Caenorhabditis elegans: one gene and its partners. The protein of the gene in region 1 interacts with the protein of each later gene in a pairwise test. Each region holds a gene or a part of one and is shown on either strand. Other genes may lie near its edges.

Region 1 (7,241 bases):
AAAGAAATATAAAAAAGTGGGAGGCTAAGTGTTTGTTGTGTTCGAATCACTTAATCTTTATGGGAAAACAACGAAAAAGAAGACTTTCACGGATGAATTGGCTTAGAATTTAGATGTGATGACGCAGCAAAGGCCACTTTGCGGAACGTTCGAAATAATCATGATTTCAGTTTATAAGTGTGTTGATGTCAGATAATAACTTTAATTTATTCAGAAAACTTTGATGTTACTCATTGTCAGAGTTGTTCAAAAAGTTAAAAACAAAAGTTTTACTAGCACTTGAAGGCGTAATAAAATATGAACTTTGGCGAAAATTGCGAAATCGATGTGAATATAACTTGAAACTTTCTTAGAACTTTTGGAGAACTAACAGTTTGGAAGATTTTGAACGGTTCGACCCAAAATGTACATTTAAAGATGTAAACAATATAGAGGATGTTTGATTACCTATCGGTTTAATTAACGAAATAAAACAATAAAAAAATAAAAATAAAATACCAAAAAATGCAATAAAAGACGATAATTCCAAAAAATTCAACATCGGACAGATGCGACACAGAAAAGTAAGCAAAGTTTGAGATGCTAGCTATAATCAGTGTACTTTTTCGAAATTTTGAACCGCCATAAATTTTGAGAAGTTTTTTGAAATTCGAGGAGCAACAAATAATAACTTAGGAGTGTTGCCTAGCACACCGAATTTTAGATAGTGACAAGTGTCACTTCTACAGTTTATAATAAATTAATGGCTACAAAAAGTCAAGAATGTAAATATTTGGAATTGTTTAAAACTCATTCATATATTCCGAGTTAAAAAATTCAGGTTTAATTCTTTTAGAACTATTATAAAGTGCAAAATATTACAAAGTTGGTTACAGATCTTATTATATTGTGTACTATAATATATCAAATACATATATTTCTGAACCATTTAGAAAAAAAATGTCAAAAAAGTACATAAAATGCATACACAATATTTATTGTCAAAATAAGAATTTGTAGAAAAATCATCAATGATAAGTTGAAAAACTATCAGGAAATATACACGCACCCGCAGATGAATAACCTGATAGGGGATTGAGGTAGGGAGAATGAAAGCTTAAGAGATAGATCAAGATGAATGGGTGGTATAGAGAACCGATTTAAAGCTAAGGAAAGAAAAATAAAGCAATTTCAAGAACCTAGAGAAACATTCAAATAAATAGAAGCTTTGAAGTAACGACTGTAAATTTACAACAAAAGTGCGTAAACAACACTAATCTTTTTTTAAGCGTCCGGTATATGAAATACAAACAATTTCATACTTCAATGGTTGAATCGCTTTTAGAATCATTAGAATCATTAGTTTCCGTTGAATCGTTTGACTCGCAGGACACTTCAGAATTTGCTGGTGAGATTTTGGAGAAGAGGAGAAATCTGAGCTGCGCGGCCTCTTGCTCTAAGCTTGAGACCTTTCCACGTAGTTGCATGTTTTCCCGTTCTAAAGCATGAGCTTTTGATGCGATTTGTTCTTCTTTTTGACGACGTGCGTCTCTCGAACGTTTCGCTGCATCGTTGTTTTTGCGCCGACGCTCGAAGTATGCAGAGTCCTGTAATTGCTGAGATTAATTGTGATTTGTTAAGTTTTCAGAAACTAGGAATTTATTAGTCTACAAAAGTAATACACAATTTGCGAAAAGCCTATCAACTAGGAATTAATAAATCTCTAAGCACAGTTAGCCTAGCAAAGAATCATAATTCTATTAGGGTGATAAATAAGTTTTGTCGTTTTTTTTTCAGTTTTGATTTTTTCTAGGATATTTTTTGTGGATATATAGAAGACAGTTAGAATGACAAGCCTATCAATATCAGCCATGATGGGCACCGTTAAGATTATTTCCAACTCCGTTCTCTGCCGATCAAAACATTTAATTTTTCCGATTTTTGTCATTTCTTTGGGAAATCGAAAACTTATACACCCTCAGGTAATAGACTATTAGTTTAGCACATTAGTGTAATAACATCCTCATACATAGCGTATCGATACAACAATATCAGTTGAAAGTGCCGAAAATGCTTGCAAACATGACTTTTTAAACTTTGAACGACGCTAACTCCTGAAACGTAAAAGATATGAAAAAATGATCAACTACAAAATTAACAAGCATTTCAAGCACTACAATGTGTTAGTTGATGACTGTTCTGTATCTTTTGTTGTTTTTGAGTTAGGGTCAGTTGAAGTACGCTAGGCCGAAATTTTGATGATACCATTTTTCCCCATTTTTCCATGTAGCTTCAAGATAAATTATTTAGAAGAACTTTTTTAAGCAAAAATACAATAATTAAATAATTTTATACATTTCATTAGTTGTACGTTTTTAATATTTCATATCCCCGAAAAGATATGAAGCACACATACACTACTAGTTATTTCTTATGCGACTTTTTGAGTTTTCATATACTTTATTAAGGAATATGCCAAAGTTATTCCGTTTTATAAAACAAGAGCTACACATTATCGCAAATCCCATATTAAATATCAAAGGAAAAGTATCTCATATTCACGTAAGTTTATTCAAAAAATCGGTGTGACAGTTGTGTTTTGTGTAAGCCTCTCTTCTAACCACCGTATGCCGTTCACCAGAATGAGTGGGTTTTGTTGTGTAAAATGTACGACCCCTCTATATATTTTTCCGTATGTTTTATGCTCGGAGGGGCACCGCCCGTAAAAGAAAACTTAGATGTAATATGCGTTAGGCCAAAAAAGTTTGAGTCTTTTGTTACAGAAGGACATTAAAGTTTCATAAAACGACAACATATACAGTGCCGACCAATATTCTATTCGTTTTCGCTTTTAAGGTGATTTGCTTGAGTTGTTCAAACAAGTATAACTCGAATACGATAACATCTAGCAAAATATTTTTAATTAACAAAATGTTGCCGTTCATTTTGTCTACACTCTTGATGTTGGTTTACATAACTTTATTACGAAAAAAGCTACATCAGCTGAAATCAGCCGGGACTATATTTTGACTAGAATTGCTAAGTGACCCACAACTTTGTGCTCATGAAACAAAGTTTAATAAGAAAATAATTTGCACCAATTTTTCTACACTCTGCCATTTGCAGTTCTGTCATCAATCGACCAGGAAAAATAATACAGAGGATTGAACATGATTCTCAAATTTCTAGATTTTGAGCATGTTTTAAAAATCCTATTAAATAGCTTTATATAATAGTTTTTGTAACGAAAACTTACATCACGAATGTTTGCAACATGTTTGAAATGTTTTTAAACTCAGAACCTAAACAAAAATTTTGCTCGCATTTACAGAAAATTTGGTCAGTTCTGACTTTTGTAATGCATGTTTAGTCATCTGTATAAATTTCCCTGGGCACTTTGTGACAAAACAACAAATTGCAAAAAGTTGAAAATTCTGTGGAAATTATTTTTTTAAATTACACATGTAGAAAAAGTAACCGGTAACATTTTGTTAGTTGAAAATTATTTGTTAACTATTATAGTATTTAAGTAATATGTGTTTGAAAAACTCAGGCAAATGGCCATAAAACCGAAAGCAAATAGAATATTGGCCGGCAACGTGCCACTATGATATTTGGCCATTTCGCACTGGCGCTACGAAAAATTACAATTTTTTTACAAAATGAGAATGTGGGTACTTGTACGACGCAGTAAATATAGCTTACTTAGTATTTGATGCTAGCTGAACAAGAAGTGATGCTGATCTTAATTTTTTGAATTCCCGCCTCATTTGAATAATATAAATGGTAGCCCAAGTCCTCTACGGGGGTATAGTTGCGCAACACCCCTTCCTGTCCGGTCATGCCCCTCTCGTATATTCATATTCAAATTCCTCCACACACATGAAGGTTTCTCTGTCAGGTAGACTGTATGTAATTACCCCTTCTTTTTCTTATGGCAACAGTTGGGTGGTGCTAAACAATGAGCCGAATCTCGAAGAGCTCTTAATTGGAGGCAGTCTGTACCGCATTATCCCAGGAACAACCAGCGGATTTTTGAATTGGGATTGTTAGGAGTAATTATTCATTAGCATAGCTTAGAGACAAAATGGCGTTGACAATGCTCCGCACTAAGAGGAAACTCCAGGAATACGGTAAATAAGGCAACTTATAATTATAATAGTTTGGGTGGGGGCGTTAATACTAGTTGACTTTCACACTATCAAAAATTCTGACACCCATAAACCATCTCCAACAGACACCTCGCGGTCGTCGTTGCGTAACTAACAGGAGTCGTGTTACGTAACTGTAGTGATTTGAACTTAAGACCACGCAAATACGATTTATGAATATTTTTAACCTCATGGTAAGTCTCTATTGGTTTTCAGATTTTTTGGAATTGTATACACTTGAAACTTAAAAAATTGAAACAAACCTTTTTTTCTTCTGGAATCGGAACCGACATCTTTCGTGATGGTGACCGTTGGGGACTTGAAAACTGAAAATAATTCCAATAGTTTTATAAGTGCTAATAATTTTTCCCAACTCACGTGTGAACTGCTAACCGTACTCGACCTGCTTGACACTGGACTGGCACACAATTCATCTTCTAGTTTGATCTTCTTGGTTGGTGTTAAAAGATTTGTCGTGGGCAGTGAGTCAAATGGTAAAATCCCCAACGGAGTGTCCAACTTCTTTCCGCCGGACTGTGCAGCAAGTGCAGTCGTCAGAATAGAAGTTCCGTCGTTGAATGGGAAACCAAGTGAGCCGAGCAGTGGTTGAACGGCTGCTTGATTTGTGAAAAGCGCCGATAGTGCTCTATGAAAGTCCATTGCGTCTGCTGTGATAATTTGGGGCTAAAAAAGACACAGATTTATTAACTATAAGAGAGTTGAAGAGGTAAATGTTTGATTTTCAGTTTAAACTTCCGATGGATAAGCTAAGTGAATAGTTTTAACCCTAGAAGACAAAGGCTAGATGGAAAATTCCCAAAAAAATCCTTTAATTGATGTAATAGGGTACGTCAATATTGAACTTTTGATTAAAACATTTTTAGAGTTTCATAAACTATAAGCTTGAAAATTCAACTATAGACCAGCCATGTTTCAGGTTACACCATCCAATTCCGTTTCAAAAAAAAAACAAAGATATGCCCATGGTAAATTAAATTGAACAGAAGAATATATTGGAAGGTAGAAAAGAAAGAGGTCAAATGTTTGCACAATCATAAAAAAGAGTAAAAGGAAATGGAGGAAAGAGACAATCTAGGATTAGGGTGGAACCTGAATTGGTAGAGGTTGTTAGATAAGCGGTGAGTACTGATAAAGTCAATGTGGATCCTCAAGTTACTTAACAAGTTTGAAAAGTTGTGTTTAATCAAAATAATTGGAATTTTGCTTGTCATATCTTAAAATGAAAAGTTGAAGTAGGCTAATTGTTATTACAAAAGAGTATATAATATAATTCAAGTTTTTAGCTCTAGAATACATTTCTTAATCAAAAATGATCACTGAAGAAAATTCAAGATGCATACGTTAGATGGGGAGGAAATGAAATGACCTCTACAGTAGTCATATTTGAAATCTATATTTTTTTGTGAATAATTTAAGTTTTATCAGAGTATTGTAACTGGAAACATCTTAAGAGTTTTGCGCGATTTTTGTAGTTCAAAGTTACATATGATTTTTTATTAGTAGAATCAAAAACTAAAAAAAAACGAAGTTGTAAGAAATTGGGTCTACTGGGACCACCCTGTTGCCCCATATACCCATCGGAGCATAAGAGTGATTGCGCGTCGGCTGTCTCGAGAAATGACAGGCGGTATGCGGGATGAGGGTGGCAGCATTTTCCGCCCGCCCTCCAAGAGGTCACCACCGGCCATCAGAGGGTGCAACAGTGCGCAACACTAGAGAGCACGGGAAGAGAACGAGACGCAGAGCAACCGTATGCAATGGCATTTGAATATTCGTTTTCTATGAGAGATAGGTGTCTCGTGTGCATTGGAACGTCGGCTCTTCTTCTGAAGAGGAGAATGAGGGGTTGGTGGTAGACATGGAGGAAGAGACAATCATTACGCAAGTATTTGAATGGTAGGTAGTCATTAGGTAATAAGGTTTGTTGGGTTACGGATTTGTTGAAACATTGAATGAATGTTTTGATGCTGTCTGAAATCACCTGAAATCAATGAGAAATGAAGATTTAATTACCAGCAGTCAGTATTCTAAAATTCAGGGTTTTAATTTTATGGCCTTACTTTCAACAATTAAACCCTCACGTTTGAGAGCACATCTTAAAAATTCAATATTAGAGGGATATCATTAATATTACCACCAAGGCTTCACATGCATCCGAAATCACTTCTCTTCATGCAACAATATTCATCCTCCCGACCTTTCATCCTCTTTCAAGTACCATGTGCTCATCGGTCCCTCTTTTGAACTTACGCAATGGCTAGTAATACTGCGTAACTGTTACAAATCTAGCCTACCGGAGGGTATACGGGGCAGTGCTGTGGGGCTCTCGGCTCTCGGCGGAAGCCGAGAGCTGAAAAAAATTTGAACTCGGCTCTCGGCGCGAGCCGACTTTTTTCAAGAGCCGCACAGCACTGATACGGGGTTTTTGAATTTTTTATTGGAATCATATTTACATTATGAAGATTTACGCTCTACTTCAGGCTCACAATCCTGACACAAACTTTGAAATTTGATGAATCCAAATAGGCGAGTTTCCGATTCTCCGTGGCAAAAACAGCCGAGTTCTTGTTCTATTTGGCACTGATCTAAAGATAGGACATGTTTGTAGTCTTTCCTCGCATGCTCCGTTTACGATAGCACATGTGTTGAGCGCAATTAACTTCGCGCACATCTTCCTAATCCCGACAAAAACGCCGACGTCTAATTGATCATTGAATTATTATCTTCCAAAAAGGACTTGACACTTTTTCTCCTCATCGAAAGCCGAATCCACTTGTCAATCATCATTCTATAGAATTCAAGCAATTGCCAATTTTTTATGGATGACTTGCACAGGCGGGTATATATTCAAATGGAATTGAATTTGAATTTGTGAGGTTAAGATTTTTATGTATACAATAGTAAAAGATGAAATCATGTCAGTAGTACCGCTTTTTTATGCTAAAATATCACAGTGAAGCTTTTTAAAACTTTTTTGAAATTTCTCTATGTGTACTCAATTTTCACTTATCATAACTTTTGAAATGGACCAAAAACGGTTTTTGTATTCGATAACACCAATGAGAATTCAGTTCTTGGTTGATATCATGT
Region 2 (4,770 bases), on another chromosome or scaffold:
TGTCATTTTGGAATTGATTTATGAGAATGATCATTATCTTCAAAGGTGGTCTTTTCACTTGTGGCAATCAAATGGGTCGTTGAAAAATTAGCTGATTTTTAAATTTTTTCAGAAACAAATGATCAAATAAACATTCAAAAAACTACAAGAAAATTCTATTAAAATACGCTACAAAACCAAATTATGAGATAATTCTAAATTTAATAGCATGGAAATGAATGAAAAATGAAAAAAAGAAATCAGAAATAGTACTTTATACATATGTATAATAAAATTTAACTTCGTTTGTCTATATTTGAAACAGGCAACTTTGTAAATTAGCTTTTCATTTTTACTTTCATTGTTTTCAATTTTGGACCTAAAGGGTAAGTTGAAGAGATCTGAAACTGCCGATAACAGACCAACAAAGTAAAATAAAAACAGTGAACTGTTTCATTTATGAACTTATTTGTCAGATTATTTTTCACTACCAGTTTTCATAAACTCCGCCAGACCTAGTAAACATAGTATTTAATAATACGTCCAAATGAAACAAGTTCAAATTAAAAAATTAAACTTTTTAAAATTTTTTAAAAAACATTGAATGAGATAGTCGATAACACGCATGTACTAAATAAAGTTTGCAGTAGCCATAAATATGCATGATCAATTAGATCACAGTTAATTTGAAGGAAATCCTCAGAAAACAAAGCTACAAAAATTGTTGCGTAGGTGGATAAACGGTTTCATAGTAAGAAAAATATCCGATTGAGAGAAGGAACAGAAAAAGATAAGAAATACAAATAGATATTTAGTTTTGTCTGTGTGCCTACTTATCTACTTGATATGTACTCGAGTACTCGATATGAATATAATTTTATAAATATCGTAAAATTTGCACGAGGATTCACAAAAAACTGTTTCATATGAAATTGCGTTGTTTCAAATATTTTCAGCACTCGTAGTTTTTTTGTTGGTATTTTCTGCTCAGAATATTTTCAAACTAAGAAAATGTCAGTATAATTAAATAGGCTTTGCCATGGTTATTTTGTGATGTATCCAGCAGGAAATTGGTATTTTAGACGCAACAATGCACACACGACAACAAAATCTCACACCGCACCACATACAATTGCTAAAACCAATCAGATGAATTTCCATTTGCACTTGATATTTGTTTTGAAATTAGAATATTCTAAACTTATTTTGAACAATTTATTCATCATGGAATGAAATGTACATTAATACAAATTACAGTGAACAAATATAATAGCCGCAAATTTTGTGAGAGATCGCGGAAGTTGTATAGTTTTCAATAAATTAATTTCAATTCGTGCAATCGTTATCGTGGAAAATCTCATTCATCTGGGAAATCATCAAAATAGTCCAATTCGTCCGAATCGTCCGAATCAATTCCTGCTAACTGGAAAAATACTTTTTAAATAAAATCAAATAATTAATAGTTACTAACCTCTCTTTGTTTCTTTTGCTCATATTTTGCTAACATTAAATCCTTAGTGATATCCAAAGACGTATCGAATCCAACAACTCCTTTTAAAGTGAATTCGTATGGCATTCCTTCTAAAGTTGGCATTGGGAGAACGGGATTTTTTGCAGCTTCTTGAAGTTTTCGCACGAAATCAGGATACACCTTTGAGAGCATCTGAAATTTTCAAAATAATGAGAAATTAATAAAAAATGTAAAGACGTTACCACTATTAAAATTTAATATGAAAACTCACACTATCATGTAGACTGAGTTTCATTTTATCATAACACTTCTCTAGGTGCACTCTCAAATTATACTTAAACTTAATAGGAGTGTTACAAAGTGAGCAGTATACATCTGGAACGTCTCCATGCGATTTCATATGACGCTTCAGTTTGTCCGGAGTTGAGAAAAGAAGTAGACATTCTGGACATTGACGATGTCTTTGCTTTGGATCAAATGCTCCTGGAATATAGATGTTTAAACTAATTTCAAACTAAAGTGAGATATTCTTCATCACATATGAAGTGCGCCAATTTACCCCAAATTTCAAAAACATGTCGTTTATATTTTGTTTTATAATCTATTCAAAACTTAAACTCTTCTCGAAATCTGATATGCAAGCTAATTTCTGTTTTTTGAATAGGTGTGAAAATGAACCGAATAAGTTTTTGATGACTATGTATATAGATTTTTAAAAAATATTATTATTTATAACTCACTTTGCTTTACTCCGTGTTCTCCGTCAGTTTCTTGCTCTTCTGCGATAGTATCCCGATTTGGCTTTATAGTCCTTTTTCGATTTTTTGACCCTACCATCATTTTTCTTTTAGATGGGTACAATGTCAACTCGTCTTCCAAATCATCATCTCCTTCTTCCTCTTCTCGGACTTTAATTTGTTTCGCCGATTTTTTAAGTATTGCATTGACTTTTTCAGTAGTGCTTTCTTTGTCTTTTCGAGTTTTTTGAGTCCTCAAAACACGATCTTGAATCGTTGACGTTGCCATTCTTTTTGATTTTTCAAATGTTTTTCTATTTGTTTCTTTATTCTGCTTGCTTGTGACATCTAAAGCTTTAAAAATGAAGAAAACATTGAAGGTCACAAATTAATAATCATGCATTGCAATAATCATACATTTTTAAAATCTCACTTTTATTTTTATTTGCCGGTTCGGAAATTGGGAGTCTTTTTGTTTGGTTTTGTATTTTATGAGCAATTTCCATGTTGCTATCTTGATCTAAATCAATAACAGGCTCTTTTTGCGTGGTATTAGCCAGTTGTTCGGTGGTTGCCATGACTGAAACAAAATTTTCAAAGTTTGTTGGTACATAGCTTTTCATGAAGAATCATCAATTTAAAATGTACATAAGACAAAGTATAAATGTAAGCATTTTTTCATAATTTTTGAGTATATAATCAGTCCTTGTGCTTTATTATAATTATCGATCGTCACTATGACAACCAACGAATAGAAATCGAGAAATTAAACAGATAATTTAGTTGGATGAGAGAAGAAAAAACTGATAAAAGCATGAGAGCTCAGCTGTGTGAGCTCAAATTTGCGGTGTTTGAAACATGTAGTTCAATAGAGCGAATTTGAAATGGACGGGTGGGGGGTCTTGTATGTGAGAGAGAAGAACGCGGTAGTCTCACTGGAAAAAATGTTTAGTAACACGAGAATATAGTTTGCTAAAGTTCCAAAATTATTTGCCCGATCCAAGCTATACTTTTAAGTTTGATGCTTCGAATTAATTTTCAAAAATAATTCCGTATGATGTTTATTAACGAGAAAAAATGTAGATTGAAATACCAGCTGTGGCAAAATGAACAAAGAATTGACAATTATGAAATTCCATAACGAATACAAATATCTAATCACTTCTCATCAAACAAATTGACATCGTCTAAGGCGTCCTCATCTTCTGACTAAAAAAATACTATTATCATAATGTTACGTATAACTGCAAATTACATACAAAAACGTCTGTGGGATATTTCGGGAGCATCACATCCAAATGAACATCAAGACTCATATCGAATCCAGTGACAAATGAATATCGATCCATTCTGTATGGCATTCCATTCAAAGTTGGCATTGGAAGAGACGGATTAACTGCAGCTTCTTGAAGTTGACGTAAGTAGTCCGGGTAAGCTTTGGCGAGCATCTGAAAAAAGTTTTCGAAATTCAAAATATAACACATTTTGCTTAAAAGTTTCAACTCACACTGCCTTGTTCCATTTCTTTCTGGCTCGGTTGACATTTGTTCATATGTTGCTTCAAGTTGTATTTATACTTGATTGGAGCATTGCACATTGGACAGTATACCTCTGGCTCATCTTTATGAGAATGGTCATGGCGTTTTTTCTTATCAGCATTTTTAAATAATGCAAAGCAGATATCACATTGGAGAGCTCGAATTTTCGGGTCTTCGCTTGCTGAAAACCTTTCGAGTTCAATTTTGGTAACAGTTAAGGTTTTGATTGTGGGATGATAAAGTGATTTACAGAATGTTGAGCATATTTATTTTGGTTAACTTACGAGCTCCAACAATTTTGTTCTTCTTTGCTGCAGCTGTTTCAGATTTCTTCTTCAAAGTCTCTTCTCGTTTCTTCAATCGAGCTTTTTCTTTCTGTTCCTTTTCCAATTTTTTCTTCATCGCGTCTTCCATTCTTTGTATCTTTGCTTCCGATGAAGTTGAAGATTTATCAATTCTTCGTCTTTTGGGAGCAACACCGGATAGCTTTGGTGAGTGATTTTCAATATCCATTTGATCACTACCAAATGAAGTTGATGTTGAATTGCTAGTATTCATATCTGAAAGAAAAACGGGAGTTTGATGCAAATGTCTCAAAATAAAGACATATTTTAAAGAAAATTTAAAAAAAGCTGTTGTGCAATGTGTTAAGAGTGATGTTGAGCAGATGACTATGACCACAACAAGTGAGCAAAAAGTAGAGGGAAACAAGAAAGAGAAGACTGTCATCTTTCCTTTCTTCTGGATATATGTTTATTGCGGTGCGATACTCTGCACGGTGCGAACAGATTGAGGAAATGACCTGACCTTTTTAACTAACAAAACACTTGCAACGACAGTGAAATAGTATTGGCAGACGGGAGAGAAATAGAGACAACAATAGAAATGGAACTGTTTTGAACAATTTGTAAAAATGATAGATTTGATAATTATAAACGATAATTATATAAATTGCAAGTTGCCTGTCTATGACAACATTATGACAAGCTAATAAGTTTAAAGAACAGATGAAGCAGTGCAATACTGAAAGGTACGCAACTGTCAT
Region 3 (5,321 bases), on another chromosome or scaffold:
TCAAAACCTGTAAAATAATGTAAGCAAATCTGCAAGAATTGCCGTGAGGCTATAACTTGAAAAGATCTTAGAAATTTTTGGGCACCTTTCCGAACATGGAAGTAATAATTAAAAATATTTTCAGAACACTTATTTATTTCTTCTTTCTTTTGACAGTTTGAGATATATTAATGTTTCCAAACTAAAATGTTTTCTATCCAATCCAAAAACTTGAGAAATAAAACAGTTATAATTTCAGATTTTTTGTATTATTGTAATATTCATAATTGGACTCAGCCAGTATTGGACTAACCGAGTATCAGCCGTATTTGGACTGGTAAGCTATAATAATCTTCAAGGTCAGAACTTAATGTTTTGTTTCAGCTATTCGTAATCATTGCACTACTGTTTTCAGCTTCAGCGGTGTCTATATTATTTATATGGGATGTTGAAACTACAACCATAGTTAAGGTAATTTTTAAAAGATTTTAAGTTTGAAAAAAAACCCAAACTTCTTAATTCGTTTTATTTTTAATGTTGATAACGCGTAGATTTGTACTGTCAAAAAATTCCAGAGATGTCTATTCACTTTTGTTTTTGCTCTTTCCATTCTCGTCTCTGCAATTCTGTTTTTAATTGCCAATGATGGTTGTGACTCCCGAGCAATAACTCAATACGGATGTTATCAATCAGTTTCCACTGGAACATTCCAAGTTGCTTCAGTATTTTGCTTTTTGGTTCTAGTATTTGGACTTCTGGATCTAGGCCTGAATGCCTTCTATTTTTATCGTAATTCAAAAAAGGCGCCAATTTATGACATTCCGCCACCGTCTGTTGCCGTCATCGAAACGGAAAAGTGGGTCAAGATTTGCATAAAATTAGGAAATATTTTATATTTCATGTCCTTTCAGAAGTATACATGACATTTACATGGAGTATCAACGAAAAGGGCAAACAAGTTCTGTTTAATGGAAAAGTAATCAAATAATTATCAATGCTCAACTTTAAATTCACTTTCTCATAATAATTTGTATATATGAAACATTAATAAAACAATTTTCTGATTCAGTTATATCATTCTGAAAAGTTTCCGTTTTCTGGCAAGCGACGGGTGGATTTTAAAAATCGTTTGCAGACTTTACTTTTTTTTGTTGTTTCACCTTTTTTTGTACAGGAAGCAAATCAAAAATAATAACACATTGGTTTTATTAGAAACAATTAATGAAACATTTAAAGTTAAAAAGTATTGCACATGAATGATTGGAAGTATTGCAGAAAGAGAGGAAGGGTTTTTTGAGAGCGAAAGACTTTGATTGGGGGGCATCTAGCGAGAAGACGAAGAAAATTGGCTTTCTATCCGTATTAGTCAAAAATAAGAAAATGGAATGGGATCAAGGGTGAAGGGCAGTAACAACTGATGCTCTTTGAGCCAAAACTGATTTGAAGTGGGCTATTTCTGCTTTTAGCGTTTCGATTTGGGTACGAAGATCTTCATTTTCACCTTCCAAGAGCTGAAAATGTTAAGTAATAATTGATTCAATAAATTTATATCTAAGTTTTAAAATTTTATGTTTTCTATTAAAATTAGTTTCAACTTACCTGAACTCGTCGTGACCTGTATTCGAATACTGCTCGTCTATTTGCTCTACATCTTTTTGCGGCTTCATTGTTCCTTCGACGTCTGTCCACATATTGGGGCTGAAAGTTTTTTTTTGAAATATTTGACATGTATTTAAAAATGTCTTCTTTCAATTCCTTTAAAAAAACTTACCGATTTGTTCGAATAATTTGAGTGATCTTCCGAAGAATGCGATGGAGAGAAAGATGCTGAAGACGATACACTTTCACAGTCTGATTTGTTTCCAGTATGTCTTGGAGGGGAATTTAGCCCCGAAATATGTTCCGTTCGGCTTTGTGGTACTGTAGGAGAAGGTCTTCGCTGTGAAAGAAGAGCAGATAGCAGGGATGGTCCTTGTTGAACAGCTTGGATTACTGGTTGAGGCGTACCTGATGGAGCAGGCTGACCGACTGAAATAAATTTTAGATTATAGTTTCAATTAATACTAGTGAAATGAAAATATGCTCTTTACTTTCAAAAACAACGACTTACTTTGTTGAATAACGCTAGATCCAGGCTGTAACTGAGGTTGAGGCATATTCACGTCAGTTGATGAATCTGGACTTCTTCGTTCAATTTTCACAATTACGCTACTCGATGGAAAACTCTGCTGAGCACTTTCTGATGGTCGAAAAGGATGAAATGCAGATGAAGACGATGAAGAGAATAAAGATGATGCTGACGTTGATGCAGGTTGTTGAGTGCTCGCATAGACCTACAAACATGGAAAAACGTTATGGGACATCTGTCTTTCTAGGTCACGCATTCAGCTGTCAATGTATTCATTAAATTGTTGACAATCTGAGTTGTGTTGCCAAAAAATGACAATGGAACTTTATATGCGGTTCAGACGTTTTTGTAATAGTAAATATTTTTCCACGAGTTAATTTATTTTATTTAAATCATCACAATTTCGATATTTCCAAGTTCAATAAAATAACTTACCGGTGACTGAATAGTTGTTGGCTGTAGTTGACAAAGCTGCAACATTGATGGAATATGCGAAGCTGCCTGGAGCAATGGAACAGTAAGCATTGAACTCGCTTGCAAAGATGCTATTGGACCCGCTGGGAAAAGATTCTTTGCAACTTGGGGAATAATCAGAGATGTTGGAGGCTCTGTTACTGATGGTTGTGGAATTGGTGTCGTTCCTAACTGAGATTTTAACCGTTCGTTTTCGGCGGAAAGTAACATTATTTTTTCTTCCATTGCTAGATCGTTTTGCCTTCGCTTTTCTCGACTTCTTCTTGATGCATCGTTATTTCTCCGTCGCCTTTCCCAGTAATGTTCATCTTTTATTACACTTTCGTTTACGGAATTTCTGGAAAAATAGTTATCAATGTCGAAAAGTATTTAAACTTTCAAAAGTTTCATCAAACTGTTAAAAATTCAAACCTTCTAGATTCCGGGGGAGATCCTTCTGAAAAGTTCGACGAATCCGACGAGCTCGATGAGAACTCGGCGGATGCCGAACAAACCACCGAAAGTCTGGAGGACGGTGACAATGATGCCGAGTCGACGTCCATCTGAAAAATAAAAATAAGATGATTAAAAGTCAAACAAAAGAAGAAAATCAAGAATATAGAAGTACGAAATTTGAAAGAAAAGAACATCGGTGAAAGAAATATGAATACCAAAATCTTTCAAAATGAATTAAGACACAACATTTATATTTTGACTTCAAAATGTTAGTACACATGGTGTATTGAAATGGAAAGTTAGTAGAGTTAAAAGAAGCTGTCAACCTATTTGATGTAAGGACAAATACGTCTTTTTGAGTTGAAATTGACACGATCTTTGGAGATTCAGCACAATCAGAAGTTCAATGTGTTCACTGTTTCCAGATATTATTAATTAATTGTAAGCCATTTTAATTGACCAATGTGTATACAAAAATTATTCAGTTTTTGGTTTCAGTGAAGATGATCTTACGCAATGCTAATCCCTGAGTATCTAGACAACCAGAAAATCACTAACTTAAAAAAAGGTGAGAAAACAAAGTATATCTGGTACAGGTGTGTTCATATGGTAGGTGTAGAGTGCAGTTAGCAACAATTAAGCGGTGTTGTGCCTCTCCTCAGTTGACCTATTTGCGCCTTGCAAACCAGTTAGCCATGGTCAATGTTTCGGACAATGCTTGGTAGATCCTCTCACTCTCAGTCTCTACAATAAACCAGTCGAAGAACAGGATATCCCCTCCGACTTTCGCCCCCTTCTCTCTTCATTGCAGTCCCTTCTCTTTTTCTTCGACCCGTCTCCTAATCATTTTTCATCGTTCGCAACGACTTCAACGCGTCGCCTCCTCCGATCCATGATGATGCCGACTTTTCCTAATTGTTTTCACTTTCCTTTCGCTTTCATGCTTAACTTTCGCTGCTTCGGGTTACGGATGTATGTGTGTCTAAGTGTGAGAAGGAGGAGGAGGTCAATGGTTGAATTCGTCGCATCAGGTCACTAGTACAAAAGGGTAGGTGAACTTTGCGGAGAATTGGAAGACAAGAGGATGAAGCTACTGGGTGGAAAGTGAATAATGAGATACGGCTAAAAGATAAAGTTGAAAAAGATAACGAAGAAAAAATTGGTAGGTTTAGATAAACAAAAGTCTTGAAAAATTCATAAACGCACTCTAGGTCAGGACTGTAAAATATGACCAATGTGAGTGCAAGCCTGATAGAGAAATTTTGGTTATTTTTCACTGCTGAACACAAAAAATGATACTCAATTCTGAAAGTAATTGTTCAAGAAACTCGGAAACGATACAAGCAAATGTATTCAAAATGAAAAAAATGCGTTGAACTAGATGAACAAATTCGCGAAATCGGGCTGGACTTGTTTGTTTTTGATTGTGCACCTTGAAAAAGAGTGGCGAGAGCCAAAATAACCGCCGCCCGTGTTGGGGGACAATCGTCAGCGAAAAGAGAGAGCTATTTTTGTTTGTTTGTAAGGCTCGGAGAATGACGAGAAGTGAATCACAAACAGTGTCCACTATCCTCCCGCACCGCTTCCAAAACTTTTTTGTCTGCAAACCAGAACAGCCAAATTCACTGCATCATTTGATGATTTTGATGACCAGTGAGTGTGTGCCTGTCCCTTGCTGTGTCTACTTCAGTAGTTTTACATGGAGAGCGGATAATACGGTTAGGTAGAGTAACAGAGTGAGAGTGCACTTTTGGTAGTTGATTGCGAAAGTGAGGTGTTGAAATGATGGTATTCTTGTTGGGAACTGAAAGATCGCAGTTCGATACGAGAAAGAGAGAGTGGCTAGCACGATCATATCGTTCGGGAACGAGTCGGTGAAAGTATGCAGGCTATGGGAAGGAAAGTGAATGAAATTGGAAAAAGAGGAGAGAAAATTGAAATTCAATTTTAGATAAAGGTATCTTTACTTGAATCTAGGATTGTCAAGAAGAACTGTTATTTTCTTAGAACTTTTAAATTGGAACAAGTGAAGTTTTAGCTTTTCACATGAAAAAGAGGTATTCTTTGAGTCTGCCCACTTTGAAAAGTGAATTAATGAAAACTGTTTCAAAATTATTGAATCAACAACTTTAATCAAATAAAATGAGTTAGTTATATTTTTTTTTCTTAAGTTAAAGACGGTGTAGCGTTTTCCAGGTTACGTTTTCGATTATTTTAGTAAAAATAAGTGTTTTCCATCAAACTATCAAAATTTAAGATTGGCCGAAAAACAGCCTTTTGTAAATTTGGATATTAGCAAACAAAC

What was found.
Region 2: the proteins of ces-2 (region 1) and T22C8.3 interact in a two-hybrid assay, tested with the Caenorhabditis elegans proteins (2 studies listed by BioGRID).
Region 3: the proteins of ces-2 (region 1) and atf-2 interact in binary tests that used the Caenorhabditis elegans proteins (3 or more experiments, as listed by UniProt).

Annotation. Positions count from the first base shown.
Region 1 is NC_003279.8:14,959,076-14,966,316, reverse strand, and holds ces-2 (Transcription factor ces-2), read right to left. Parts: upstream 4,821-7,241; 5' UTR 4,791-4,820; coding exon 4,509-4,790; intron 4,457-4,508; coding exon 4,394-4,456; intron 1,587-4,393; coding exon 1,296-1,586; 3' UTR 956-1,295; downstream 1-955. UniProt on the Caenorhabditis elegans protein: Transcription factor. Required to activate programmed cell death in the sister cells of the serotoninergic neurosecretory motor (NSM) neurons. Negatively regulates the activity of ces-1 which in turn negatively regulates the activities of cell-killing genes.
Region 2 is NC_003280.10:8,619,210-8,623,979, forward strand, and holds T22C8.3 (C2H2-type domain-containing protein), read right to left. Parts: upstream 2,775-4,770; 5' UTR 2,766-2,774; coding exon 2,621-2,765; intron 2,536-2,620; coding exon 2,191-2,535; intron 1,934-2,190; coding exon 1,722-1,933; intron 1,643-1,721; coding exon 1,451-1,642; intron 1,403-1,450; coding exon 1,337-1,402; 3' UTR 1,176-1,336; downstream 1-1,175. Other genes in the region: T22C8.4 (C2H2-type domain-containing protein), read right to left, coding at 3,346-3,396, 3,447-3,635, 3,695-3,906, 4,010-4,283.
Region 3 is NC_003280.10:8,749,788-8,755,108, reverse strand, and holds atf-2 (Transcription factor atf-2), read right to left. Parts: upstream 3,124-5,321; coding exon 2,993-3,123; intron 2,919-2,992; coding exon 2,543-2,918; intron 2,313-2,542; coding exon 2,090-2,312; intron 2,008-2,089; coding exon 1,751-2,007; intron 1,678-1,750; coding exon 1,579-1,677; intron 1,491-1,578; coding exon 1,371-1,490; 3' UTR 1,176-1,370; downstream 1-1,175. Other genes in the region: K08F8.7 (MARVEL domain-containing protein), read left to right, coding at 239-316, 364-450, 555-835, 891-948. UniProt on the Caenorhabditis elegans protein: Acts as a transcription factor that recognizes and binds to the sequence 5'-[GA]TTA[CT]GTAA[CT]-3', a sequence present in many promoters.